Linked DNA regions of Sus scrofa. The protein of the gene in region 4 interacts with the protein of the main gene of each other region in a pairwise test. Links are inferred from orthologs where the notes say so. Each region holds a gene or a part of one and is shown on either strand. Other genes may lie near its edges. The genes, in order: SNX22, PITX1, LNX1, DVL3 and KLHL12.

Region 1 (5,827 bases), on a different chromosome or scaffold from region 4:
GCAACCCTTGCTCCCTTCCTACCTCTTTCCCAGGCTTTTCCTTCTCTTCCAAGCCTTTGCCCAACACCCCCTCCGCCATTCATTCATATAGTCTTTCATTCAACACGTGTTTGAGTGTCTACTATATATTTGGCACCCTGGTGGCGACCACTGACAAGAGACCACATCCCTGGTCAGATGGTACTGAGTCTGGGGCTGACTTGGGGAAACCAGGGAGACATACGATAAACAAAAGAAACTCCATATTGGGATTAAGTGCAGAGAGAGCGGGCTTTGAGAGGGTGGGCAGGAAGGAAGGCATCCTTAAGGAGGTGAGTTTTAGGCTGAGAATTGGAAGTTTTAGGCAAAGCCTATCAGGTGAACTGTCAGGAAAGAGTATAAATGTCCTGAGGTAGGAGTTCCCGTCATAGCTCAGTGGTTAACGAATCCATCTAGGAACCATGATGTTGCAGGTTCCATCCCTGGCCTTGCTCAGTGGGTTAAGGATCCGGCATTGCCATGAGCTGTGGTGTAGGTTGCAGACACGGCTCGGATCTGGTGTTGCTGTGGCTGTGGCTCCGATTTGACCCCTAGCCTGGGAACCTCCATATGCCGCGAATGCGGCCCTAGAAAAGATTAAAAGACAAAAAAATAAATAAATAAATAAAAATAAACTAAATGTCCTGAGGTAGAAAGAGCTCATTAGGTTTGAAGAACTGGAGGAAGGTCCCTGCTACTGGAGCCCCATTGCACAAGACTGGAGGAGAGAAAATGAAATGAGAGATGGTGGCTGGGCCAGGTCGTTTAGAGCTCGAGATAGTGTGGGGAGGGTGGCTTTCGTTCTCAGCACAATATGAAGCCTTTGCAAGTTTTAAGCAGGTGCCTGGACAGTTTGTGCTCTAGTGGAGAGGGAGTAAGGCAAGGAAAAGCAGCAAGATCCCTTAGGAAACTGGCAGTTTTCTGGGTGGTGGGGATAGAGACGGAGGGCAGACCTTCAGTAGGCTGGGTGATCAAGAAGTTTAGAGGTCTGAGGGCCCAGGAGAGGACTTCCCAGACAGCAGACAAGGAAAGCAGGGCCCCTGTGGGGCTCTATAGACGTCAAGGGAGGAAATGAAAGCTCAGCACTTCTCCTCATGGGGGGTCATTTCCCTTCCAGGAAGTTTCAGCTTCCTGATTCTGGAGCCCTTGTGAGATGGAATTTGGGGGGAAAAGTGGGGGGGACATAGTACTGGCGAGACCTGCCTGCCTCCTTTCGGGTCATCCTCTCAGCCTCTCTGTGGGGGCAGAGCTGGGAATGGAGAGTTTCTGCTCCAGCTCAGAAGCACCTCTGCACTAGCAGGGGAGGGACTGACTTGGTATCCCCCAACCCCAACTTCTCAGGTGCTCTGCTTCTTCCTTCCCACCATAGAGGAGTCAGTGGAGTGGAGGCCTATGCTGGATGAAACAGCTCCCTTATGGCCATAGCCAGGGCAGGGGTAGCTGTGGCTGAGGGATGGGGGCAGAGGCCCCTCTCAGGAGGTGAGAGTTCTGGATTAAATCCTGCCGCATATTCACAACAGCTCTGTCAGAAGAGTGGGCAACATCAGCCCGGCGCCACCTCCCACAGTCCCTCTCCCTACCAGGTTGTCCTGTACACCAACACCACCCAACAATGTCTCCAGGACAGGCCCACAAACTGCGATTTTTCTCAGCATCTGCTTTGCTGAGGGCTTAGCAGGAATCATCTCAATTTTCATGCCCTCTCCTGAGGGAAGCATATTATCCAGATTTTGCAATGCGCACAGGCCTACTGTGCTTTCCACAATTGGGGAAATGCAAGGTGTCTGAATTTCCTTGAATTTGGTCCCTAAACTGCCTCTCCCCGACCTGATGCAGCTTGGGCTAAAAGACGAATGAATGGAGGAACGGATTTTTAAAATGAAAGAATGGAGTGGGCCTATGAGTGCTGGGGCGGGGAACATCAAAGCCAGAGTGCGACCAACTTTACCCCAGCACGCTCCCGGGGTATAGGCTGAAGTTGGAGTAAAGTGGATTGGAAGGGGGGCAGCCTGACCCCGGGGAAGGATGTGAGGAACGCCAAGAAATGTCCCTGGTTGGTCTGTGCCCTGGCTCCCTCCTTGTCCAGCCGTCCACGGGCCCTAGCCCTTCCTGCGGCTCAAGAGCAGGTGAAATTTTGGCTTGCCCCCATTCCTGGTCATCAGTGGGCGCTCAGCGAGTGTGGACATAGTACTAAACGGATGACTCTCTGTCGAAGAGTCCCCACGCCCTGCGGCCCAACTAGGCTCAGGGAGCGGCTCTAGCCTCCCGTCGCCCCCACCCCGGACCTGGTCTAATCAGCCCCCGGCAGGACCCGGAGGCAGGAGGGAACGCCCGGGGCGGGGCTAACGTGGGGGCGGGGCCAGCCACACTGGGGTCTCCAGTCCGCCCCGAGAGAGTTCCGGCGGCAATCAGCGCGCGGATGCTGCAGGTTCACATCCCTTCTGTGGGACCCGAGGCCGAGGGGACCCGGCAGAGCCCCGATAGAGGGCACATGGTGAGCGGGAGCACTGGATGGGAAGGGGTACAGGGACCCGCCAGATTTCCCTGCGCCGAACGCAAGGGGACCCCGCTCCTGGGGCTCGGGCGTCCGAACGCAGCGGGCCAGGCTGTCGAGGGCAGCTTCGTAAGGGTCTCCGGGCCGCTCGGATTTGCCAGCCCCGCGGACAGTGGTCCTGGCCCTTGAGGGGCTCACCGCATGGAGCCGAGTCCCCGAGTGTGTGCGAGCGTGGGAGGGTCCCTGAAGAGCGGAGCGCTCCCGCCGCTTTGTGCCTTTGAGGGCGGAGGGTGGGCGAGTGGCCGGGCAAGGGTCCAGCGGCGCCCTCCCGTCGGCCTCATGCGCACCCGGCTGCCTGCCCGCGCCCGCCAGGTGTTCCGAGTGGAGGTGCTGTGCCGCGGGCGCAGACATACCGTGCAGAGGCGCTACAGCGAGTTCCACGCGCTGCACAAGCGGGTGAGGCAGCAACCGACCGACCGACCCCGCCCAGCTCCTGCCCACCCTCTGGGAGGCGGGCAGACGAGCTGGCAGGCCCCAGTCTCTGCCATCCCCATTATCGCCCCAGGCCCTGAAGACCCCTGCGGGCTGCGGGATGGGCGCAAAGGGGCAGGTCCCAGCCTCTGTTGTCCGTGCCCTGGCGCAGCCAGCCCGCTGTCGGGCGTTTTGGGGGTGAAGGGTCAGGTTGGGGCGCCTCTCGCCCTTGTCCCATCCACCATTCACCACGCGGGTATGTCTCAGGATAGAGCCTGAAGTTTGGGAGTGCAGGCATGGCGGGGAGGACTGGAAAGGGGTCTTGGCTAGGATGAAATGAGCATGAGGGCTGGGTCGGGATGCTGTGATCGCACCTCGGTAACCTGGCAGATCAAGAAACTATACAGAGTTCCCGACTTCCCCTCGAAACGCCTGCCCAACTGGAGGACCAGAGGATTGGAGCAGCGGCGGCAGGGCTTGGAGGCCTATATCCAGGTGTGCGTGCGTCTCTCTCTGTTGCCCCCCAGCCTGCTGCATGCAGAGGTGCGGGGCATGGGGTGAAGGATCCCACATTTGGGGCATTTTGTTTGTTTGTTTTTGTGTGTTGGGCACACCTGTGGCATATGGAAGTTCCGAGCCACAGCTGCAGCAATGCTGAATACTTAACCCACTGTGCCAGACTGGGATCAAAGCTGCGCATCAGCAGCCTCCAGAGCCACTGTAGAGATAATGCTGGATTATTAACCTAATTGGGCCACAGTGGGAACTCTTGGGGCCTGCTATTTACTACTTCAAATTTCCAAACAGTAATGGGTCCAAACATACCTGTGAATTGGTAGGACTGAGTGAGGTAATCAGGAGGCAGGTGGTCCCAGTTAAATGAAAGCTAGTTCTCATCTCCAGGGTGAGATCCTGTGCTGCCCTCCTGATATAGGGTGGAGATCCTCCCTCTCCTTTCCCACATGGTTATGCGACATTACAGGCCAGGCTGGCTTCATGAGCCAAGCTGTGTAGTCATCCAGGGCCAGTGTTTGGGAGGGCCCCAAGCTTGGTTTAATGCTCTACTCTCACTGTCCAGAAATACTTTTTAAAATGTTTTTCCGGAGTTCCCGTCGTGGCGCAGTGGTTAATGAATCCGACTAGGAACCATGAGGTTGCGGGTTCCATCCCTGCCCTTGCTCAGTGGGTTAAGGATCCGGCTTTGCCGTGAGCTGTGGTGTGGGTCACAGACGCGGCTCGGATCCCGCGTTGCTGTGGCTCTGGCGTAGGCTGGTAGCTACAGCTCCGATTAGACCCCTAGCCTGGGAACCTCCATATGCTGCCGGAGCGGCCCAAGAAATGGCAAAAAGACAAAAAAAAAATTTTTTTTTCCCATTATAGTTGATTTAGGGTGGTCTGTCAGTTTCTACTGTACAGCAAGGTGACCCAGACTCTCTCTCTCACACACATATATATGTATATATTCTTTTTCTCACATTGTCCTTCATCATGTTCCATCACAAGTGACTAGATATCGTTCATTGTGCTATACAGCAGGATCTCATTGCTTATCCACTCCAAAAGCAACTTTGGGGAGTTCCCTTCGTGGCGCAGTGGTTAATGAATCCGACTAGGAACCATGAGGTTGCGGGTTCGGTCCCTGCCCTTGCTCACTGGGTTAACGATCCGGCTTTGCTGTGAGCTGTAGTGTAGGTTGCAGACGCAGCTCGGATCCAGCGTTGCTATGGTTCTGGCGTAGGCTGGCAGCTACAGTTCCGATTAGACCCCTAGCCTGGGAACCTCCATATGCCGCGGGAGCGGCCCAAGAAATGGCAAAAAAGACGAAAAAAACAAACAAAAAAAAGCAACTTTGCCTCTATTAACCCCAAATTCCCAGTCCATCCCACTCCCTCCCCCTCGGCAACCACAGAAATTCTTTATCATTTTGGAAGGCCCCCCACGTTTTCATTTTGCACCAGGCTGCACACATGACACGGCAGAGTCTGATTACGGGTTTTCTCTGTTCTCTTCTCCAGGGCATCCTATACTTGAACCAGGATGTGCCCAAGGAACTACTGGAATTCCTGAGTCTTCGGCACTTCCCCACAGACCCCAAGGCCAGCAGCTGGGGGTGAGCACCTCTAGGGACCATGGCTTGGCATGAGAGGAGCCTCAGAGTTGGGGGGACAGGGGCTCTCTGCAGCCAGCGGGTGAGGAAAGGCTCTAGAGGCCGAGCCCTTTTCCCTCTCACATCTGCCAGGCCTGGTTTTTCCTCTTTGAGACATGACCTCCCTTGTTGGCTTTCATGACCCTGGTGGAGGGGCTGTTTTCTGGAGAGTGTTGGTTACACCAGCTGCCTCCGGAACTGAGCTTGTTACAAATAGCAGTGGTCCCCTGGGAGGTGAGGTTCTGGGCTTCCGCAGGTTCACCCTGCCTTCCTCCCTCAGGCAGCTCACAGCCTCTCTCCTTTTCAGCACCCTGGGGCAGCTCCTGCCTGACAACAGCAGGCAAGTCAAACACCCTGTTGGCACTGGGCTTCTGCTGCCCTCTCGTGGCCATGTGCTAGGGGATGTCCTACTTCCCATTTTCCTTTTTTTTTTTTGAGACCTATCACTGCTGTGTCTGGCTGTGAACTCTTGCTACTGCAGAGACAATACTGGCTCCTTAACCCGATGTGCCACATCGGGAACTCCCACTTGCCACTTTTCCTTGGTGGGTCCTTGGTGATCTCAGTCCTTACTCTGAGGCTTTGTTCCACCTACCCCTGCACTGCTCATGACCTCTTTTCCTTTTAGCTCACAGCTGTGCCACAGGCCAGTCATCAGCTTCTGCGTGGACCCTTACATTTGCATCCCCCCCCCAGGT
Region 2 (5,651 bases), on a different chromosome or scaffold from region 4:
TTCCTGAGCTAGCTTGCCAGCCTCCTGCATCTCAGCCTTCCCCATAGCCAGCACTAACCGCTGCTGATTCTACCCCCACTCCAGCCCTGCTAACATCAAGCCCTGGCAGGATTAGTGAGTTCAGGATTACTGAGTGCTGTCTTCACTCCCTATCACACTGGGCTGGTCAGCCTAACTGGGGAGGGGTGAGAGCTGGGCTTTTAGCAGGGAGTCTGTGGGCCAGGTGGGACCTTGGTTTAGCTTGGGACATGCTCCCAGTATCGCATTAAATATTTGCAGTACCCAGGGAAGAAATGCTTCTCTTGCTGCTCTGGCCGGAAAGTCATGTACATTTTCTCGAGTAACCAAGGGGTGAGAAGAGGGAGGGTGTAGTCCCATCTCAGGTCAGAGACCTTACGTCTCCAAAAGGATTCTTCCTGAGAGCCCCTGGTCCACCAGTCCACCAGAGCTGCTTCCCCACCCGCCACCTGATCCCAGCCCTTAGGGAAAGGGTCCAGCTCCAGACTGGCTGGTGGCTGAGAAAGAGGCAGGTGAAGAGTATCTTAAGGTTTTGGAGAAACCGACTGCAGATGGGACCACTGCTCCAGGAAGTTTTGAGACATCCCCCCCCCCAGGCCTAGGCTCTTATCCGGCCTCTCTCAAGCTGCCAGGCAGGACCTGCCTTTCCCTTTCGTTTTCTCGGGAAGGTGCCAGCTGTTCCGAGATCGCCAGCGCGGGGAATCCTCTGCGCAGTCTAGGGCGGCAACATCCGAGGGGGGCCCCGGACTCTACAGGGCTGGGGAAAATCCCCTGGGGCCACAGGTCTTTGGGCGAGGGGCTGCGGTAGAGCCGGAGGGTCACATAGGATGCGGGTCAGAGGGATCCGAGGCGGCAGCAGCCGAGGCGCGCAAGCACCAATCGGCTCAGCGGCGGCTGGGTAGACCCCGGCCGGATCCTCCGGTGGAGGGAGGGAGCAGGTCTAAGTGGTGGGACAGAGGAATAGTCTGAGCGCCGATCTAAGCGTTCAAGGGCTGCGCTGGACCGGCGGCAGCCTTCGGCGCCGGTCCCCTTAAGGCACACGCCCTGCGCTCACCCGCACGCGTGGCTCGGTGAGGTTGGTCCACACAGCGATCTCCTCCCGCATGCTCATGTCCGGGTAGCGGTTCCTCTGGAACGTGGCCTCCAGCTCCTGCAATTGCTGACTTGTGAAGTGCGTGCGTTGCCGCCGCTGCTTCTTCTTCTTGGCGGGGTCCTCCGCACCGCCGCAGCCCGCGCCGCCCGCACTGCTGTCCTCGGGCCCCTTGGGCTCCCCGCTGCGCTCCTTCTCTGAAGCGGGCAGGATGGGGCATCGGTCACGTCGGGCTTATGCCCTTCTGCACCCCGTCCCGGCTCCACCGAAGCGCCGGCCTTCAGCGGCCGCCCTCCCGCCAGGGGCCCTGGAATTGTCCCCATTAGAAAGAGCCCGCCCGTGCCGGATATCAGTAGTCACCTCTGGCCCGGCTTGTCTGGGAGAAGAGCCCAGGAGTTGGAGCCCTGGGCCTAGGTCCTAGCTGGGCAGGGCCTGCTCTCACAGCTCGGCTCCTGCTCGATCCCTACTGCTGATGTCACTGGCGAATGTACATTTTTAGGGTTCTTGGAGTTCTAAGCCAGAGGGGAGCTCTGCTTTTCTAGGCAGAGGGTCAGATCTTTCTAGCCCGAAGTTGAAGTTATCCGGTTGGCAGGGCGAGAGCCAGGAAGTGGTTTGCAGGCTCTCCACCCTCTTTTCCCCAGGGCTGTGTGGGAGTCCCACCGGGCAGGCACTGCACCGCCGGTTCTCGGCCTCAGCTCCAGGCCCCACGTCTCAAGGCCCAGAAAATCCCTCTGGCGGCAGCCGAGCAGGCCAGACCCACAGGCTCTAAGTGACCCTGGGGCTCTGCCTCTCTCTCTTTGAAGCTACACAAAACACATGCAGTCATAGAAACATCGAAGCATAAAGAAAAAGAATTTAAAAACAAAACACAGAAGCCTAGGAAAGCTCACAGCTCTATGCCTAAAAACATTAGAAAGGGTCACACACTCTTAAAAATAGGCAGGTAGAAACACAGCAAATGCAAATTAAGAAGCCAGAAACCTCCGTGCAAACACATCCCTAACTAAATACAGTGCTGTACGTGTATAAACTCCAGGCAGACACCGGCATTTATTTATCTGGGACTTAAAAAAAAATCAAGGTACTGTTGTAGATAGTTTTTTTTAACCCCTTCCCAAATAATGCTCTTCTAGAGGTAATTTTTAAATCCCAGAGAAATACAACACTCTAGTTAGATAAATTCCCCAAATCACACCCCTGTAAATGGACTTTGAGAAAATCCCGGACAAACGCGCCATTTTGGATTGAATTTTTAAAATGTCTCGAAGAATAACGTTGCATGCAGATATTTTAAAATTCCGGAGAAATGTACTTAGGATAGCAATTCTTTCTATACTGAAAAATACAGTTAAATTTTAAAGTTTATCCTCATAGACTTGGTTGTTAAAAGCAATCTGTAACGATTTCTCTGAGCTTTAACAATAAAAACCAACCCAAGCCCACGCCTAAAACTTTTGAAAACAAAAGTACAGTCCAGCGCTGCTTACTTTTTAACCAAGCAACAGAACCTCTCAGAGAAAGTCACTTAGGGATGCAAAACAGAAACAAATAGAGATTAAAAACGCGTAGAGAAACACTCAGCGGTGGATTAAGAAATGAACGCAGAAGAGGCGCCCGTAGCCGAGAGAGCAGGGAGCTGGGCGGCGGCGCGGAGTCAAGACCGCGAGCGATTCCGAGACTCGGGAGCCGGGACCGGGCCGGGTACTAACCTCGCCACGGCCCGCGCCGCCCATCGCCGGCCCAGCAGCGGCCGGGGAATAAAGCTCGAGCCGGGACAAAAAGGTAGCGCGGAGGGAGACGTGCCTGAGCCGAGCCGGAGACCTGGCTGGGCGGCCTGGCGGCTCCGGGCTCCGGCGGCGCACGTGGGGCCGGGATCCCTGGCTTAGGGGGTCCTCGCCGGAGCCGGGCCGAGCCCCTTGGCCCGCTCGCCCTCGCTGTCCTCTCCTTTTCTGTGACCTTAGGTTGTTTCTCTTACTCCCTGTTTGCTTTTCTCACTTTTCCCGCCACCCCTGCTCTTGGGTCTCTCCCTCTCGCAGTCAGTCGCCCACGGTGTGTCGGGGTGTCAGTACTCTGCTTTCCTGGGCACTTTCTTTCGCCCACCGCCCCATTCCTTTCTGATCTGCTCTTCGCCTTCGGTCTGAGCGACCCGGGTCACCCAATTTCCTCCCCCACCCCCGCCCCGTTCTATTTGCTCCTGATCAAGAGGGGCTGTCAGTCCGACTCTCCGGTCGTAGGTTTATGCATCTGCCGGTCACTTGGCGCGTGGGGATCTCATGGAACTGTTTTCGGAAAGCACTAGATTTCTGTTTCTGAAAGTGTGTACATTTCCGCGTTCACCCTCAGGTACAAAACGGGAAAAGGAAAGATCCCGACGCTCCTGGGGTGTAGAGCGAGCCTGCCTGCGCGGCGCGGGTGCCAGGCCCTGCTCCTGGCTCCCTGCGCCCTCCTGCGGAGTAGGCTCCGTGCGCGCCTCGCAGACAGCCGCGCTTACCTGGCAGCTCCGTGTCGGACGACTCGCTGGCGGAGTTCTCGAGAGGCTCGCGGGGGTCGGCAGCGCGGGCTAGGTGGAAGGCGGGCCCCATGTCGTGCGGCGGCGGCGGCGGCGGCCGGAGCCCCTCCGGCAGCCGCTCCAGACTCATGCCCCCCTTGAAGGCGTCCATGGAAGCGGGGACCGTGGCGGGCGCTCCGGGGGCCGGGGCTGGGGGCACCCGGCCGCCCTGGCTGCGACCTGCGAGAACGAGAGCGCAGCGTCTAAGCGGCTGCCCCCCAGGGCTGCCCGCGCCCGCAACGACGCCGCGCCCGCCCCATGGACCGCCCGGGGCTGCGGGGCCAGGCGGGCGGCAGCGGCAGCGGTTTCTCGCGACCGGGGGCCCGGCTTCGCGCTCCGCGCTGCGCTCCCGCCGCTCGGGCCTCAGCCGCCCGCCCGGCCCCGGCTCCGGCTCCCGATCCGGGGCCGGTTTCTAAGGCTCCGGACCGCGCCGGCAGAGCCTGTCTTAAAGCGACAGCGCGCACCGCCAGGTTCCAGCAGTCCCTGCGCCAGGGGTGGTGGGTGGGGTGGGCCGGGGTGGGAGGGGGCAGGGAGGGAGGGAGGGAGGGAGGGAGGAAAGGAGCAGCGAGCGAGGGAGCGCGGGCGGAATCCAGCCCCGAGCCGCCCGCGCCGCCGCGCCCTCTCGGCCGCCCGCCCTCCCTCCCTCCCTCCCGGCCTCACCCGCGCCCTCCCCCTCCGCAGCCACCTTCCCGCCGCCTCCCCCCTCCCGCGGCCTCGCCGCGCCTCACCCTCCTTCCCCCCGGTGACACACCGAGTTCTCCCTCGGCCGCACAAAAGAAACGCATCTGGCCTGCAAGCCCCTCGCGGCTCGTGCCCACCTCAAGCCCCAAATGACTTGTTTCGCTCGAAATCAACTCCAGTCTGGGCCGCCTCGAAGTCCCGAGTCCCCGGCGAGAACAGCCCAGGCCGAGTGAATGTTCACCGAACAGGATCGCACCGACCGGTCGCCGGCGAGCCAGCGCCAGGGCGGGGGCAGAGCCCGGGGCTCGTTCCGGCAGCTCCCAGCCGCGTCCTCGTCCAGGGGCCGCCGGCCCCTCCTTTCCCGGCCTCTTCTCCCGGGACCCGAGCCAGGCTGAGTGACAGCAGCCCGCGCTCTAATGGGCCCCCGGATGCTGCCTCCTAATTAGCTTGGACCCTCTCCCCCAAGGCGGCTTGCTTCTCAGGCCTCCCCCCTCTGCACCACAGTCAATTTTCCGGGATTGGGATAGAACTGATGGCTTCTAATCAGACGAAACGTTTCTGTTGGCTCCAGGCCGCTGGCGAGTGCAGCAGGAGACCCCAAGAGCCCTGCCAGGCCCCACATCCCCTTCGAGAGGACTCTCTCCTTGTTTCGCCCTTTCAGAGGGCTCACCGAATCTGCCTGGCTCTGGCCGTGGCAACCACGGGGTGGGCCTCTGACCCCCTTCAGGGCAGGTTCCCAGGGCCTGGGACCTCACTTTGGCTGCCCAGAACTGCAGGCATAGACCTGGCAGGCCAGGTGACTACAGTTTGCAAACCTAGGCCAGCAGCCCAGGAAGCCTGGGATGGTCTCGGAGTTTGTCTCCTGGGCCTTGGTCGCTAAGCTGCAGCTCCATTGGGCCCTCTCTGAGCACAGGCAGAGATGGTCCGCTTCTCAGCCCGAAGAATCAGTCCCTCCCCAGTCCTCCTACCTCAGGGAAGTTTGGTGAAGGCTTTTGCTTAGCAATGGGTAACTGGCCCTGAGATGTCAGAGTCTTGAGCGAACAGGTGACAGCTGGGGTGGTAGGGTGTGACCCTGCTCTGTTCCTCTGGCCACAGCTGGACCCCAGGCTGCCCTCTGTGTCTCATCTCGGCCCACCAGTTCCACCAGGCAGAAGCAGCACTGGGCAGGATGGCGGGGGTGGGGGTGGGGGGGCAGGACTTGTACTCTCCAGGCCCAGCGCGCCTCACCCCGGGGCCCAGTGTACACTCTGGGTCCTCCTGGGGACTCTGCTGGGGAATGGCTGTGCAGACGCTCTGCGGCCCCTGCCCTCACCC
Region 3 (5,571 bases), on a different chromosome or scaffold from region 4:
AGGCATCTCCTTGTCTCCTAATTAAAGGTTTTACACAGTGCCCTTTGTGGCTCAGTGGTAAGGAACCTGACTAGTATCCATGAGGATGCGTGTTTGATCCCTGGCCTCATGCAGTGGGTTAAGGATCCGGCATTGCCGTGAGCTGTGGTGTAGGTCTCAGACATGGCTCGGATCCTGTGTTGCTGTGGCTGTGTTGTAGGCTGGCAGCCGTCACTCCAATTCAACCTCTACGCTGGGAATTTCCATATGCCACACGTGCAGCCCTAATAATAAATAAATAAATATAAATAAATAAATACAGGTTTTACTTTCTTTTGACCCCAGAGGCCAGCTGCCTGGGTAACTGCACAGGAGCTCCATGCTAACAATTGGAAGTAAAGAGGAGGCCAGTGCTCATACTTAAAAAAAAAAAAAAAAAAAAAAAAAAAAAAAAAAAAAAAAGCTGCAGTAGACCTGAGACTGAAAATACACTTGCCGATTTCTTTGCATCCAGCAGACGTTTCCAGGCTGAGATAGAATCGCTCAGCTTATGGATGACTTATGAAAAGAAGCTCCTAACTGTTAGGCTTCTAAGTTAAAAAGATGAACTTGTGATCAGGCTGAAGCACACACGAAAGCCACGAAATTTATAGGGCACTTCCTTACAGGTAGATCAGAATCAGAGTGGAGGAGTTCCCATCGTGGCTCAGTGGTTAATGAATCCGACTAGGAACCTCAAGGTTGCGGGTTCTATCCCTGGCCTCACTCAGTGGGTTAAGGATCCGGCGTTGCCATGAGCTGTGGTGTAGGTTGCAGACACGGCTCAGATCCTATGTTGCTGTGGCTGTGGTGTAGGCCAGAGGCTATAGCTCCGATTAGACCCCTAGCCTGGGAACCTCCATATGCCATAGGAGCAGTCCTAGAAATGGCAAAAAGACAAAAAAAAAAAGAATCACGGTGGACAGCCAGGTGACAGCAGCCAGCAGTGCCCCCGTGGATTAGCAAGAGGCAGGGGTCCCTGGGCTAGGTGTGTTCTGTGTGCAAGTTACCGAAAGGTAGCACCGATTCATAACTCCAGGGCAAGACCGCTTAGCTAGCTGATGATCTGTGGTTCTGTTTAGAATTCCATTCCCAGATCGAAGAGTTTCTTTGGCCACCACCGGAGCTGTCAGACCACAGAAGTACCTAAGCCAACAGGCGGGAAAAACAGGGCTTAGAAGAACACCCTTCCAGAAAGGCAATTTCTACATTTTTAACCAGCTGGGTGACTTGGCAGGAGTGACTTAATCTTGCTAATCCTCAGTTTCTTCATCCACAAAATGGGGATGAGAACTATACGCTTATGTCAAGGATTAAATGAAATAATGCAGGGGAGGTCGTTAGCCCAGGACCCAGCTGACAGTAAAGTCTCCATAAGTGAAGTAAGCAAGCAAAGACAGTGCCGCTGCTGATGACCGTGACCTGGAAGAGTAGGTAGAAGAAATCCTTATTGAAACGATAATCCTGTATCTTTAGAGGGTATCTTTAAATGTCTTATCTATATCGTTAAAAGTCTTAGCTAGTGTCAGCCATGAACTCGCTCCCTCTTTTTCTTTGTCTAAAAACATTTGCCAGTGTTCCGTTACGAGAGATGCTGCCTATGGAAAATCTTTGAAAGATTTGGCAAGGCATCGGAGCGAGTCAGGACTGCTTGATTTGTCTGAGATAGATTTCATGCTTCTGAGCTAGAGGCACGCTTCTTCGCAGACTTAAAAATGAAAAGATGCCCAGGATTCTGAGACCCGTCCAGGCAGTGGCCAGCTCCCGCCTGTTCAGGAAGTGGTCCTAGCATGATGATGTCCCAGCCTGGTGCTGACCTGGAGGGGCAGTGACCCTGTGTTTATTTCCTTGTTGATTTCCCTTCCCTGGTTCCAAGCTCATTTTCCCATTGCCTGCAGGAAAACAACATCCAGGGGTGCGGTAGGTCTGATTTGGCAGCTCTAAAGGTGAACAAAAGGATCCTGGCTTTGGCGAGAGCAGGAGGAAGTTGGAGGGGGCCTCGGCCCCATGCAAACCAGAGCAGACTTGTTACCGATGCTCCTGGGTGGCTGTTCTGCGGGGGCCTCTCTCCCCTGGTTGATGGATCAGCTCTGTGCAAAGCCTGCAGACGGGGCCTGGGATGAGCTGATGAACTGCAAAGCGGGGTGGTTCTCATGCGTGTCTGGAAGACAGGCCACAGGAAAGAGGAAGAGTATTTTTCTGGGCTACTGCTGAGTCAGAAAAACTTAGCTCCCAAATGGACTGTACCAAGAGGTCTTACCTGGCTGGAAACTGATTCACAGCACAGCAAAGGTAAGAGGCCTTCTTCCTCCAGAGGGTGGCATCAGACAATTGGAGAAAACTTTGCCCCAGACTATCCCAGCCCAGCCTCCACCCTCACCCCCACTGCACTGCACGCAAACACATGCATACACACACACAGACACACACACACCCAAGATGTTGAGAACCTAGAGATATCTAGGTCTGTCTTTTCCAAAACACTCTAGAAAGGCCTCAGGATATTTGCTCTCTTTAGGCTTGATTTATTTTTTTTCTGCATTCTTCACGACACCTCTTCTTTTATTTTCAAAAATAAAAACTACATATATACATATGTAAATTTTTTTTTTTTACTGGCCAAGCAAGTCAGTAAATCATAAGTAATCCCACTAATAATGATTGGGTTTCTGTGACATTATTCGTCATCAATACTCAAAATACATTCACGCATTTTATCCCATTTCGGCAGTAGAAATAGGCATCATCACTGCACTTTCACCTACAGAGCAACTGAGGCCCAGAGCAGTGGACTTGCCCAGCAGCAGGTAGGAGGTGAGACAGTCCATCTCATTGCCGCTCCGCCTCTTTTCAGCAGACTAGTGACTCTCCTCTCTAAACCAAATACCAGGCTCCATTCTCTGCCACATTCCCAGCACACGATCTGATGAGAGGATGGAACCGGAGCAAGGAACTCCCCTGGACAATCCAGAAACAGAGAGTCACGGGGTCTAGTCCAATACGCCACCGCATTGTATATCCCTGTCTGCTTCTCTCCATAGGCATTGACTCCAGTTCAACAGATGTTGATCAGCGCTGGCCCATGTGCCCAACTCTGGGTCACGTGTCAGGGCGCAGGGCAGACTGGATGCCCAGGTGGTGCTGAAGGAGTGGGAGCTGGGAGAGGAGTTTGTTTATGAGAAGGCTTTCCATGGGAGGGGAGCCTTACACCAGGCTTAGCGTGACGTGCAGACTTATATTGAGGGAGAGCAATGCAGATCAGCGCACCCCTCCCCCTGTCCCCTGGCCGCCCCAGGTAGGGAGGGAGTGAGCATTTACAGCAAGACTGGCAGCGGAGGAGCAGAGGGGGTACTGAGCAGACTGGGAAGGTAGACCATCTGGATATGACTCTTGGTTCTACCGCCTAGTAGCTGTGTCCTGGGGTGACTCAGATAACCCCTGTGACCTCAGTCTTCTGACACGTAAAGTGGGAACAGTGGTGATGCCTATTTCATGGGGTTGTCTTAAGATGTCAATGCGATGATGCATGTGAAATCTTTGCTGGCACCCAAGTGCTCAGTTCATACTAACTATTTAACTGCCATGTACCTGGCTCCATGGGAGAGGAGCCCTACCCTCAACTGGACCACAATATTATGGGTTAGTTGTGTGTAACCCACTATAGGCAGTGTGCTAAGTGCTGTGAGGTCACAGAGGAGGGATCGGTTAAGGATACTTGGTTGAGTGTCCTGGGCGGTCTGTTGAAGGGAGAGGGTCGGAGGAGAGGTTTCATGGCAGAAGCCCTGTTGTAGTAAGGTGGCTTGCATCAAAGCTATACTGATTTGATTTTTTTAAAATATATTTCTGAGTATTTATATAAATGTTTAATTTCCTATAATATACTGACTTGATTTTGAATAGCAACTTCAGCCCCACCAGATGCGTGGTATGACTGTGTTAGTCTGCCAGGCTGCATAACAAAGGACCACAGCCTGGGTGGCTTCACCAACAGAAATGTACTTTCTAAAGTTCTGGAGGCTCTAAGTCCAACATCAGGGTTAGGCCACTCTGCCGGGCTTGCAGAGGGCCCCCTTCTTACTGTGTCTCACGTGGTCATCCCTCTTTGCACCTGCACCCTGGTGTCTCTCTGCATGTCCAAATTTCTTCTGGGAAGGGCATCAATCAGGTTGGATTAGGGTTCACCCTAGGGACCCCTTTTTGATTTACTCACCACTTTCAATGCCTCATCTCCAAATCCAGCCACTTTTTGAGATACAGTGGGGCTTTAGAATATAAACTTGAAGGGACATCATCCAGCCCATAACAATGAGTTTGTTTCTAAGCCTTTCCAAGCCTTTTCACTCAACTAGAAGATGGGGACAGTACTTGACATGGACAGTACTTAACATGGAGACCCACTGTGATCATCACAAAAAAAAGACATGGAGTTCCTTCCCATTGTGGCTCAGTGGTAATGAATCTGACTAGGAACCATGAGGCTGTGGGTTTGATCCCTGGCCTTGCTCGGTGGGTTAAGGTCCTGGCTTTGCCATGAGCTGTGATGTAGGTCGCAGATGTGGCTCGGATCCCGCATTGCTTTGGCTGTGGTGTAGGCTGGCAGCTGTAGCTCCAATTCAACCCCTAGCCTGGGAACCTCCATATGCCACAGGTGCAGCCCTAAAAAAAGCAAAAAAAGAAGAAAAAAAAAAGAACACATGAAACACCTCTCCCAGCCAGTTTTGGACCTTTAGAAGGTACCCCATAGGCAATGGTGGTTGTTACTAGAACTTTAGACCAAGCTTCCAAGGAACATAGGATCCTCAACACAAATCATGTGCCAGATGAATAGACGAACTGGCCCTTAGTTATCCCACAGACTTCCTGGGAGGACAAAGGGGCCTCCATGTCCCCACTTTCTTAGTTCTGGCAGATGAGCCCATTATCAGATAAGCCAAGTGGCTGGCATGACCAGCCCTAGAGATACTGTGTTCTCTCTTTCTAGTTTTTTGGGAAACTGTCCATTCTTTACTAAATGAGTGGAGTGAGAATGCACATTTCTAGCACTTTAGCCGAGAACTGACATATGGCAGATATACCCTGACTTTGCCCCTAGGCAACCACTCCCGCTTTATCCACCCAAATGTAGATGTAGATACAGATATGGATATAGAATAGACGAAGATATATTTATCTCAAACTTATAGAAAAGTTGCATGTACAGTCCTGGGCAAAGAATTCTGTATTGTCTTTTTCCTGATCCCTTTGAGAATGAGCTGTCAAAAAAGTTCCTCCTTTTCCCCAAGTACTTCAGTGTGCATCTCCCATAAACAAGGACATCCTCTAACACAACCACAAAATCAGGAAGTTAATGTTGCTATGTTGCTATTATCTAATCCTCCGACCCCAGAAAGTTTGCATCTGTTGTCACTGGCGCCTCAGACCAGTTCAGGTTTTTGCAAGTTGCCTTTTAGCAAAAGAGCGTTGTAGCATCAGGCATTGCTTTTCGTGGTCACATGTCTTTGCTCCAGTATGGTGCCCTCCCTCCATACTTCCTCCACCCTCATGACCCGGACA
Region 4 (5,602 bases):
AGTGCTGCAAATGTTTATTCCTCCTCCATTTCCCAAATAACTGAAGAGGGTTGGGCCTACCCTGAGCTTGAGGAATACTTCTGGAGACCAGATGGGAGTTAGGAGTCCTCAGGCCTTACATACCAGAACCCCCGAGGGTGAGCCTGGAGAGGCTGAGGAGACGGCAGGCTTCCTCCTCTGACCCACCTTCCCATCTGTCAGCAGGGGTTGCTGGCTTCTGCCCAAGCCCCCCTCTTGGGCAGAGGGATAAATGGCAGCCCCATCACCTTTGCAATTTGCCAAGGCTCAGCATCTCCCTCAGAGACAACATACTTATTAAATGGTGATGATAATAATAATACTGACAACCTTAGACTGTGAAGCCAGGTTCCTGATGGTGAATAAAACTCTGCCACTTAGAGTTCCTGTTGTAGCGCAGCAGAAATGAATCCAACTAGGAACCATAAGGTTGTTGGTTCAACCCTGACCTCACTCAGTGGGTTAAGGATCTGGCGTTGCCGTGAGCTGTGGTGTAGGTCACAGACACAGCACGGATCTGGCATTGCTGTGGCTGTGACATAAGCTGGCAGCTATAGCTCTGACTGGACCCCTAGGCTGGGAACCTCCATATACTGCAGGTGTGGCCCTAAAAAGACAAAAAAACAAAAAACCCCTCTGCCACTTATTAGCTGTGTGACCTTGGGTAAGTTACTTAATTTTCTGTGCATTAGTTTTCTCATCTATAAACTGGGGGTATTACTACCTATTCCTTAGGGTTGTTAAGAGGATTGAATGAGTAAAGATTTGAAAGTCATTTAGACCATGTTGCACACTGTCAGCACCACAGAGAGTATGATAAATAAATGAAATATATATATATATTCCTCAGCTATTAGTCCTCTGTGACAAGATAGCCCAATCAGGTCTCTTGCTCATTACTCCTTCTGGAGCTAAAGACAAAATCAATCTCTACTTTGCTTTTACTATTGTTCGCAACCATGCTAAAATGGCCTACTCTAATATTTTACATAGGATGGTTCAAGTTCAAGTACCACTGATGAATGCAAGATGGCTTTAGGTATACCTGAATGAATGTTTAATTCGAGTTAAATATTTATTTTTAACATATTTTAGAAAGAAATATAAACAGCAAATCAGACCTGTGGTTCATATTGTTGATTTGGTCAAACGAAGAAAGAGTGAGTGGACTGACAGCGTATTTAAAGAATATTAAATCAACAGTGAGAGGATGAAATGGGGACCCCCTGTGACTACAGTTAGGCCTGGCTTGACAGCAGTCTGGGGAGAGTGGGAGACAGCCCACAGAGATCTAGGTTTAGGAGGTAGGGGTTAGGCCCAGTGGGCTCTGTGATGAGTAGGGAGTGGAGACACAGGTTTGACCTAGTCCCTCAAAGCACCTGGCCCCAGTGCACTGGACTCTGGCTGATTTTCCCCTATTCCATACCCTGAGGCAGTATTTTAGTCTCTTCGAACTCCATTCTTCTCTTACCAGGCCGAGGCGACCACACTGCCCCTCCCTCACTTCCACCCCTTGCCGATAGATCGATCCCTCTTCAGAATCTTCCAATCAGAGGTGTCTATCTCAGGACTGAAGCCAGACAATCATTACTACACAGGAGTACCCACCCCAAGGCAGGAAAAACAACAACAACAGGAACAAGAATAGTTAGAAGCTGCATAGCACTTCCCACTGTACAAAGCACTTTCACACATATGATCTCACGGGCTCATCAAACCCAGAGTTCCAGGGGGAAAGGTGACAGCAAAACACGCCAGGCAGAAGACAGAGAAGGTACCAGAGCCAGGAGGGCGGGGGTCCTTGGAGAGAAGCCAGGCTGATGAACTCTGGGGAGAAGAATGTCTCCCCTCACTCAGCTCTGGGCCTCAGTTCCAAAGAGCGGTGTAGGCCTCAGGCTACCGCTGGAGAGGCGGCCTTCAGGCCTGGAGGGCCCAGGAAGGCCTTCCCCACAGGCCTCCAGGCCCAGTGCCCAGTTAGTGTGGGGTAGACTAGTGTGGGGGCCTCCCCCTCCCCCAGTCCCCTGGGAGTTGGGGGGTGGTGAGGGGATCTGCCAGGCTCCCCCTCCCAGGCCAGCTGCTACAGAACCTTCCGGGCTCCAACATTCCATCCCCTCTTAAAGGGGAAGCCACTGCTTCCAAACTCCTCCTGGCCAAAGCCCTGCAGCTGGGTAGAGAAGACACCCCCCACCCACCCCCACCCCAGGAGGGAAGATGAACACCAAGAGAACCTTCCTGGCCCTCTGGTCCAGACTCCGAGGCCCTTTCTAAGGTCTCCCCCTTGGTCACCATCTGGAGGAAAAAGGCCTTGGTTCTGCCAGGAAATCAGCACCTGGGCTAGTGGGGACGCCTCAGGGTTGAGGCACTCTGCTCCCTGACAACAGCCCCAACAGCCCACAAGGGACAGGGGACACAGCTAAATAAACATTAGGGCTGCAGGCCTTGGCTTACAGCCTGAGCACCCCCAGCCAGTTCAAAGTCCCACAGCATAGCCCTTAGACGTGGGTTACTCCAAATATGGCTCTCAGTTGTGGAGCTGAAAAGATGGAGAAGGGGAAGGCGAATACCAAACACCCCGAGTCTCTACTAGCGAGGTGGCTCCGTAGGCAGGAGGAGGGGCTGGGGACTGTGCTCTGGCACCGGGTGGAGGGGGGGTGTGTCTGTCTGTGTGGGCTGATGGTCTCTGAAGAGGTGAAGGGGCTTGACTGGGCTGGAACTGATTGGTCTTAGGGAGTTGGATGTTTGTTCCCCCTAAACGAGGGGGCCAAGGTCCCCCACAGGAGGGGGTAGGAGAGTCCCTAGAGGGCTGGAAGTCCAGCCTCTCAAAGAGCCAACGGGGACCAAATGGCCGAGTCTCCTCTAGAATCCAGAGTAGGGCTAGAAGCCAGTGGAGCAAGGGGAGTCCAAACTGGCGGAGTGGGCCCCTAGAAGCCAGAGGAGCCGGGGTCCCCCGGAGGCGAGGCGGGGCCATCCTCACCCGAAATCGTCGTCCATAGACTTGAAGAAGAACTTATAGCTGGGTCGCTGCAGAACGCCCTTAAAGTCCGCCAAGGTGACGCGCTCCGCGGGCAGGGGCAGCTTCACCAGATACGGCGTCTCCTGCCCATCCAGATGGTAGATGATCTTCGTCTCGCCCATGGCTCCGGCCTCGGGCCCGGCGGCCCGCGCGCTGCCTGCTCGGGCGGCCGGGCCGGGCCTCTCGGGCGGCGACGGCGCTCGGCGCGGCCCAGCGGCTCAGCCCAGCTCCGCGGCCGGCCGCGGCGCCAGCTCCCTTGTTCTCCGGCCGCTCCCGGGTCCCAGCGCCGCCTGCTGCCGTCGCGGCCGCCGCTTCCGCTCCCCACTCTCCCGGCTCGGCTGGCGACTGCGACTCTTCCGGTGGCCGCGGCCCTCCAGGCTCTGGGCAGCGGCCCGGTCCGCTCCCCTCCCCCGACCCCGGCGCGGCTCCGCCCCGGCGCGGCCCCGCCCCCGGCCGCCGCCGAGCCGCGCTGGCTTCGCGGCAGATGGCCTAGCCCTCCGCCGGACCCAGCGGACACCCCGCCCACCCTCCCGGGGGGTGGGGTGCACGGCTCCCAAGCTCCCATCCCAGGCTCGTGGGGAGTGTGGAGGCGGCCGCCTAGGCCCCCACAGAGGAAGACATATCTTTCCAGGATGGCTGTGTTTCGGAACTCTTCAAGGCCCAGGCTCTGGACCCAAGGGAGATCGGCTGCTCTTCTGCAGCTGGGGAGGAATATAATGCAGGGGTGGCTTCGCTTCCCAGAGAAAGGGGGGGTGTAAGGCCGCAGTTCTGACCATGTATCTCTGTAAGAAAGTGGCCTCGACATGGCCTTTTGGGGTCTATTGAGCAGCATAGATGCTGTCCTTGAGTCTACCAAACTGAACTTCTTGTGGACAGAACAAGAGTTCTGATTCCCTCTTAAAACCTCAGTACTACCAGGTGTAGTGTAGTGATTTAATAAATGGATTGAATGCAGAATGAGTATAAGAATGAAGATGTGTGTCTGACTGGGACATGAAGTCTCAGACCAGAACTAGGTATAATTCATTCCTAACATCTTCTTACCTACTAATGTGCAAGGCATACTTAGTGATCTATAGCAAAACAAGACAGACAAGGTTGCTCTCACGACCTTCACTCACTTGGACGGAGGCACAGAGCCTTGTGAGTAAGTAACTTTAGACTGACAAATGCTATGAAAGATAAAATGTAGTCACGTAACAGTGTAGAAGAATATGGGTGGTCAGAGAAGGCCTCTTCCATTTGCGTGAAGACCTAGAACTGACAAGGAAACAGCTATAAGAAGGTCTGGTCTGGGGGAAAGAGCATTCCATGTGGAGGGCACAGCCAAGTATAAAGACTCAAGGCAAGCACAGACTTGCCAGAAGTTCCCTGATGGCCTATCAGGTTAAGGATCCGGTGTTGTCACTGTTGTGGCTCAGGCCACTGCTATGGTGTGGGTTCGACCCCTGGCCAGGGAACTTCCGCATGCTAAGGGCATGGCTGAAAAAAAAGAATCAACTTCTGAGAAACAAGATGAAGGTTATTGTGACTACAGTGATTGTGGGAGATGGGTGGAAAGGTAGACTGGGACCAGATTACATCAGTCCTTTAAGATGACAGTAACATTTTGTTTACTGTTGCCAACATAGCATTTCAAGATTAAGGACCTCTTTCAGACACCTCTGGCTCAGAAACCTCTCCACATTCCTTAATGCCTTCCAAATGTCCTTAGCGTGATAGTCCAAGTTCTCCATTCTAACCTCTACCTACTTTTACAGACTTCTGCAATGCTGAATCCTTTAACCCACTGAGCCGGACCAGGATGGAACCTACACAGAGATATCTCCCATCTCACACCACAGCAGGAACTCCTTGGCTAAAGTTTTGACTTAAGCAATTCTACTTATTTGCTAGCCCCTGCACATTATCTTATTTATTTTCATACCCTTTCTTTTTTTGTCTTTTTAGGGCTGCACCTGCAGCATATGGAGGTTCCCAGGCTAGGGGTTTAATTGGAACTACACCTCCCAGGCTACGTCACAGCCACAGCAACGCAGGATCTGAGCCGAGTCTGCGACCTACACCACAGCTCATGGCAATGCCGGATCCTTACTTTTTCTTTACTTTTTTATCAAGGTAATATGTGTACACAACAATTGCAGAATTGTTCTCCAATTATTCCTTTTCACAGCACATTATTCACAGATACAATATCTTCCCTGAGTTTTGAGAATAGTACCTTCTCCCCTCATCCTAAAGTTTTCAAAAAGCTTCTTACCTTGTCAGTTTCCTTGGTTTGAATTTTGTTTTGGTCTCTGCTTTTCATGTTAGAAATTTCCTCAAATGGTTACTGATCCTTAACAGTCTATTCACATTTAAGAGTGAGATAAGAAAACTCTGGAAGCTTTGTCCACAGACAAGGCTTATTTACTAGCAGGCTTCACTGCAGGGTGATCAGTCGGGGGAAATTTTTTTTTTTTTTTTTTTTGTCTGCTGTTGTTGTTGTTGTTGCTATTTCTTGGGCCGCTCCCGCGGCATATGGAGGTTCCCAGGCTAGGGGTCTAATCGGAGCTGTAGCCACCGGCCTAC
Region 5 (5,526 bases), on a different chromosome or scaffold from region 4:
CCCACTGTACAGCAAGGGGGTCAGGTTATCCTTACATGTATACATTGCAATTACAGTTTTTTCTCCCACCCTTTCTTCTGTTGCAACATGAGTATCTAGACATAGTTCTCAATGCTATTCAGCAGGATCTCCTTGTAAATGACCTATATTCTAAGTACTTAATCTAGAGTTCCACGGCACACTCCTGCTTTCCCTTACTGAGACCCTTGAGTAGCTGTAAATACCGGGAATCATCCCAGTGTCTAAACAAGGAGGCAGGGCAATGTGGAACCTGATTGACTCGCCTCATCCAGACCAGCCCCCCCAAGGATGGACCTAAGAAATTCAGAATCAGTTTGAACTGGGTCAGCTATCCAAATGACTAGAAATATTCTTGTATGAGGATAGTGTCCCCAGGACTTAAAGACTCAAAACATGCTAGGCCTGAACCAGTTCCATCAGTGGGCTGGTGGGGTTTGTCTTGGCCACAATCAAGGCATATGGAGACTCCCAGGCTAAGGGTCGAATGGGAGCTGTAGCTGTCGGCCTGTGCCAGAGTCACAGCAATGCAGGATCCAAGCCGTATTTGTGACCTACACCACAGCTCACAGCAACACCGGATCCTTAACCCAGGGATCGATCCTGAGTCCTCATCGATGGTAATCAGATTCATTAACCACTGAGCCACGACGGGAACTCAGTGCACTGGCTTTCTTGATTGCAGTTTCTCCACTTTTACTCTCTGGAAAAGGGGCAGGCATACTCCAAACAAAGCTTCTTAAGTATCTGCTCATATTTGGAAAAACTCAGTTTAGAAGCCAGAACTCAGTTTTAAAGCCACATCATCAAAGATTCTGCAACCAAAAACCAAAGGATTATTTTTATTTAAATTATACATATTTTTAGTTAACATAATGCAAAGTTCAAAAGGCCCTGGACTTCCTGTTGTGGCTCATCAGAAACGAATCTGACTAGCATCCAAGAGGACACAGATTCAATACATGGCCTTGCTCATTGCGTTAAAGATCCAGCATTGCTCTGCTGTAGTGCAGGCTGGCAGCTACAGCTCCAGTTCTAGCCCCTAGCTTGGGAACTTCCACGTGCTGAGGGTGTGGCCCTAAAAAGCAAACAAGCAAACAAAAAAAAACAAAGTTCAAAAGGCCTAAAAATACATAAAGGGAAAAATCTCCCTCCCATCCTGTCTCCCAACTCACCAGTTACTCTCTCCAAGAAAGTGATGTTACTGCTTTATTTTGTATCTATAAAATGCATTTTATACACATGCAAGCAAATATGACTATATTTCCCAAACTTTTTCACAATTAATAGCAAAGTATACACACTGTTCACAACTTCATGGTATTGGGTTGTATGGATGTGCCATATGTTAGTGAACCAGTCCCCTACAGATGGGCATTAAACTTTTTCTTTTCTTTTTTTTTTTTTTTAGGGCCACACCTGTGGCATACGGAAGTTCCCAGGCTAGGGGTCAAATGGGAGTTGCAGCTGCAGGCCTATGCAACAGCCACAGCAACACCGGATCTGAGCCGCATCTGCAACCTATACCTGCGACCTTCGCTGCAGCTTGCAGCAACACTGGATCCTTAACCCACTAATAGAGGCCAGGGATCAAACCTGCATCTTCATGGAGATTATGTCGGGTTCTTAACTAGCTGAGCCATAATGGGAACTCCTTGTTTTCAATCCAGGAGTTCCTTAAGTGTGGTGCAGTGGGTTAAGGATGCCACGTAGTCACTACTGTGGCTGCTGGGGCACAGATTAGATTCCCCACCCAGAAATTTCCACCTGCCACAGGCAAGGCCCAAAAAAACCCTTGTTTTCAATCCAATCTACAAACAACCTTGCACACACATCATTTTACATGTGTGAGTATATACAAAGGATAGATTTCTAAAGATCATTGTTTTTTTTTGTTGTTTGTTTGTTTTGTCTTTTTGCCGTTTCTTGGGCTGCTACCACGGCATATGGAGGTTCCCAGGCTAGGGGTCCAATCGGAGCTGTAGCCACCGGCCTACACCAGAGCCCCAGCAACGCGGGATCCGAGCCGTGTCTGCAACCTACATCACAGCTCACGGCAACGCCGGATCCTTAACCCACTGAGCAAGGCCAGGGATGGAACCCGCAACCTCATGGTTCCTAGTCGGATTCGTTAACCACTGAGCCGCGACGGGAACTCCAAATTTCTAAAGATCATTGTTAAGGAATATATATATATGCATTCATCATTTTGGTGAATTTTTCCAAGATGCCCCCAATAAAACTTGTACCAATCCTGCACTCACAATATACAAATCAGAGACAATTTTAGACCAGAGATAGGATATGAAAGATGGAGACACTACTGTAAAATTAGATTGCTACCCACTTAGCTACAGTTTTAATATCCCTAAAGAATCAAGCCCCCCTCAAAAGGAAAACAATACAATCAAACACAATTGGTTTGGACATTCGCATGAACTGAATCAAGGAACCTCATTCCCTTCTGAGCCACTGAGATAAGTGTACCAAAATCAAACAGAAGCAAAAATACTAGCACAACACTCAGCCTCCGAGATTTGTGAAAGGCAGCAGAATCGGAATAGGGGAGATGAGGATTCCTGGGACTTGCAAGAAGACCCTTCGGAATCTCCCTCGGAGGGGCCGTGAGTTCCTTCCACTAAACTGTCCTGAAGTGCAAGAAGCAGAGAACACCCAGGGGTGTTGAGGCCCGATTGTGATGCAGAGAATGCTGAGGTCCCAGGGTCGCAGGGCTCAGAGGATTCTCATCACAGCTCGAAAAGGCCATTGTGGAAAATGGACATGAAGACACTGGAAGCCTCCGTGAGTTTTCTTGATGTGAGAGGGTTCCTGAATACCTGTCAGGTAAACACTCTCTGCAGTCAGTTCTCTAGCTTCGAAAACTCTGGAATCCTCTCAGTCCACCGCGCCTGGGGACCTGCGGAGCATCTGGACCAGTCACCGGGTGGGGACCTGCACCGCCGTGTTCTCTGGAGCTAGCCCCGCACACCTGCGGGTCACGTGACGCGGCCCCTCACGTGACGCTGGGTGGTCGTGACGTCATCACTGCGCGCGGCGACGGTGGGGACGGCCTCGGGTCGGGGCGGCGGTGCTTGGGCTCCTCCCGAGCCGCCCGCTAGCCCCGCGCCCACCCCGCGGGCCAGAGCGCAGGTGAGTGGCCCGGAGGCAGCGGCTAGCGCCTTTCCGTCCCCTTTCTCCCGGTCGGCCTCTCCCAGCCGGGCGGTGTCCTGGCGACGAGCGCCTCGCCCTCCACCTGAAGCTGTCGGGGAGGACTCCGCTTTGCTCTCCAGCCTGCAAGCCCCCCTCCCCCGCCCCGAATCTGACCCAGCCCGCGGCGCAGCCTCTCCTCTAGGGAACTCGCTGGAGCCCGGGCTAGGTCAACCCTGGATCGGGGCGCACCCTGCGTACCCCGGCAGAGAGACCGCGCCGCGTTGGGGTCGAGTCCGTTTGACAGGTGAGCCCTGTCGTAACATCCCCTCCCCACCCCGAAGGTCTTCACGGTAAACGGGCGTCTGTGCAGACCTTTCTCACATCTCCGGAGTTGAAACTGCATTGACTCAAGGACGACCTTTTTGAAAAACATCGTATGCTTTGCTGTAAAATGGATCTTGCGGAGTTGTTGGACGGATAACATAGAGTGCCTATAGAATAATATGCTAACTATGAACAGGAGTAGATGAGAAATTAGGATCTCGTTTTTGCTTTCATATCAAATTATGGTTGTGAGTTGTGGACTCTTGAAAACCAGTTGTTTTTTTTTTTTTTCCTTGGATCATTTCAGAAAGTTCTGGAGCCTACATAAGATAGGCTTTCTTAATAACCACCCCATTCATTCTACAGAAACTGTTTTTGAAGCAAAAAAAATTAGTGTGACCAAAGCCTGTCAATCAGGAAAGTACTTCTTATATTGATTTGTTAAGATGTAATCTGTTATTTAGTTCATTTAATTGGTATGTGCAGGTGAACTTTACAAGTGACTGGCTATGGCAGTGAAATTAGTAGCAGAGGTCCTATCCTAGTAAGTCACTCTTTCAGTATAGAAATACAAATACCGATTTGTTAATTTTGCTGAACCTTTGCAACTAATGTAGAGTGGGAAGCCCCTTCTGTAGAAGAGCTTCAGTAGCTTTAGTGGAAGTCCACAGATAAGTGTGCATGGATTCCACTGTTCAGTATAGGTATCGGGTCCTCACTTGAAGTTTCACTTTTTGAAGAAATCCGGATATATTTGAAAGTCATCAAAAATAATTATTTGCATTATTTTAGAAAAAAGTTTATTTTCACTAATACTTGATCTTTATTGCTCTAGGTTGAATACACAGTTTTTCTTTTCTTGCACTCTATTACTAAACATTTATTGTACATTTTCTGGGAAAGAAAAAAATATATAAATCAGAATCCCCACCCTATAAATATTTACCTACTTAATCTACTTGAGGATATTAAAAACAATGATATCACACCCTTAAGAAATTCTGTCTTTTCATTTTGTCACGTGAGACAACAGCCTTGTGAAGATATGCAGGAAATGTAGGGTTTTTTTCCACTTATAATGCAGTTGTATTGATCATAGTATTTGTCAAATGGTTGGGGCACTTGATGATTATGGAATTCAGAGGAAGAAGAGATCATTTTTATTTAGTTTTATTTTAGTTTTTATATTATTATTTGTTATTTATTTATTTATAATTATTATTATTTTTTATTATATTTATTTTAGTTTTTATTTATAGTTAGTGGCTAAATTGTATTCGTAATGCCAGGAATAGGAGAGCTCCCTACTTGAAGATTTTTGAGTCTGATGGAGCCTCCTTAATTTGTAGAGCTAACAGTATGTTTAGCTTCCCAATTCCTTCAAATATGGTCCTTGTTTTTCTTTTCTCTTGTAGTTGCAGCATCCAAGGACCCCTTTCATCCTTTCTCCATATTGCTTGATGGGAGGCATTATGGCCCCCAAAGACATAATGACAAACACTCATGCTAAATCCATCCTCAACTCAATGAACTCCCTCAGGAAGAGCAATACCCTCTGTGATGTGACATTGAGAGTAGAACAGAAAGACTTCCCTGCCCATCGGATTGTGCTGGCTGCCTGTAGTGATTACTTCTGCGCCATGTTCACCAGTGAGGTAAGTGGTAAGTTATCTCCTCACAAGTGGAGCCCACACACATCACCTTGTAGTTGCCTCACTTCGCTGAATAAAATAGTAGAAATGTGACATGACAGTGAATTTAAACAGAGTGGCGGTTAAATGGGCAGACTCTGGATCAGATCTGCCTCTTGACTGTGCCTTAGTTCCCTGTCTTTCAGTTAGGGAAGGAAACTGGGAAGTAATACACAGGAGCCTATGCTTATCGTGACAGTTAGTGGAAAAAATTTCCTATAATGTGCTTAGAACAATGTCTAGCATGGAGGAAAACACAGTTGTCAGCTCCTGGGTTTACTTATTGTTTTTTTTAATTTGTTTTCCTTCTCAAGTTTGCTGTTTTCACCTGCATACCAGGAAG

The links.
Region 1: the proteins of DVL3 (region 4) and SNX22 interact in binary tests that used the Homo sapiens proteins (3 or more experiments, as listed by UniProt). The two-hybrid records come from large-scale screens. The link is inferred for Sus scrofa from reciprocal best matches to the Homo sapiens genes DVL3 and SNX22.
Region 2: the proteins of DVL3 (region 4) and PITX1 interact in binary tests that used the Homo sapiens proteins (3 or more experiments, as listed by UniProt). The two-hybrid records come from large-scale screens. The link is inferred for Sus scrofa from reciprocal best matches to the Homo sapiens genes DVL3 and PITX1.
Region 3: the proteins of DVL3 (region 4) and LNX1 interact in a two-hybrid assay, tested with the Homo sapiens proteins (2 studies listed by BioGRID and IntAct). The link is inferred for Sus scrofa from reciprocal best matches to the Homo sapiens genes DVL3 and LNX1.
Region 5: the proteins of DVL3 (region 4) and KLHL12 interact in binary tests that used the Homo sapiens proteins (3 or more experiments, as listed by UniProt). The two-hybrid records come from large-scale screens. The link is inferred for Sus scrofa from reciprocal best matches to the Homo sapiens genes DVL3 and KLHL12.

What each region holds. Positions count from the first base shown.
Region 1 is NC_010443.5:107,894,091-107,899,917, reverse strand, and holds the start of SNX22 (sorting nexin-22), read left to right. Parts: upstream 1-2,361; 5' UTR 2,362-2,437; coding exon 2,438-2,512; intron 2,513-2,884; coding exon 2,885-2,968; intron 2,969-3,373; coding exon 3,374-3,478; intron 3,479-4,998; coding exon 4,999-5,093; intron 5,094-5,436; coding exon 5,437-5,469; intron 5,470-5,757; coding exon 5,758-5,825; intron 5,826-5,827. UniProt on the Homo sapiens protein: May be involved in several stages of intracellular trafficking. Interacts with membranes containing phosphatidylinositol 3-phosphate (PtdIns(3P)).
Region 2 is NC_010444.4:137,202,905-137,208,555, forward strand, and holds the start of PITX1 (pituitary homeobox 1), read right to left. Parts: upstream 3,769-5,651; coding exon 3,600-3,768; intron 1,306-3,599; coding exon 1,073-1,305; intron 1-1,072. UniProt on the Homo sapiens protein: Sequence-specific transcription factor that binds gene promoters and activates their transcription. May play a role in the development of anterior structures, and in particular, the brain and facies and in specifying the identity or structure of hindlimb.
Region 3 is NC_010450.4:40,436,902-40,442,472, reverse strand, and holds the start of LNX1 (E3 ubiquitin-protein ligase LNX), read left to right. Parts: upstream 1-1,938; 5' UTR 1,939-2,310; intron 2,311-5,571.
Region 4 is NC_010455.5:122,073,668-122,079,269, reverse strand, and holds the start of DVL3 (segment polarity protein dishevelled homolog DVL-3), read right to left. Parts: upstream 3,420-5,602; 5' UTR 3,154-3,419; coding exon 2,993-3,153; intron 1-2,992. UniProt on the Homo sapiens protein: Involved in the signal transduction pathway mediated by multiple Wnt genes.
Region 5 is NC_010452.4:24,899,648-24,905,173, reverse strand, and holds the start of KLHL12 (kelch-like protein 12), read left to right. Parts: upstream 1-2,192; 5' UTR 2,193-2,793; coding exon 2,794-2,862; intron 2,863-3,052; exon of another isoform or gene 3,053-3,472; intron 3,473-4,907; coding exon 4,908-5,147; intron 5,148-5,526. UniProt on the Homo sapiens protein: Substrate-specific adapter of a BCR (BTB-CUL3-RBX1) E3 ubiquitin ligase complex that acts as a negative regulator of Wnt signaling pathway and ER-Golgi transport.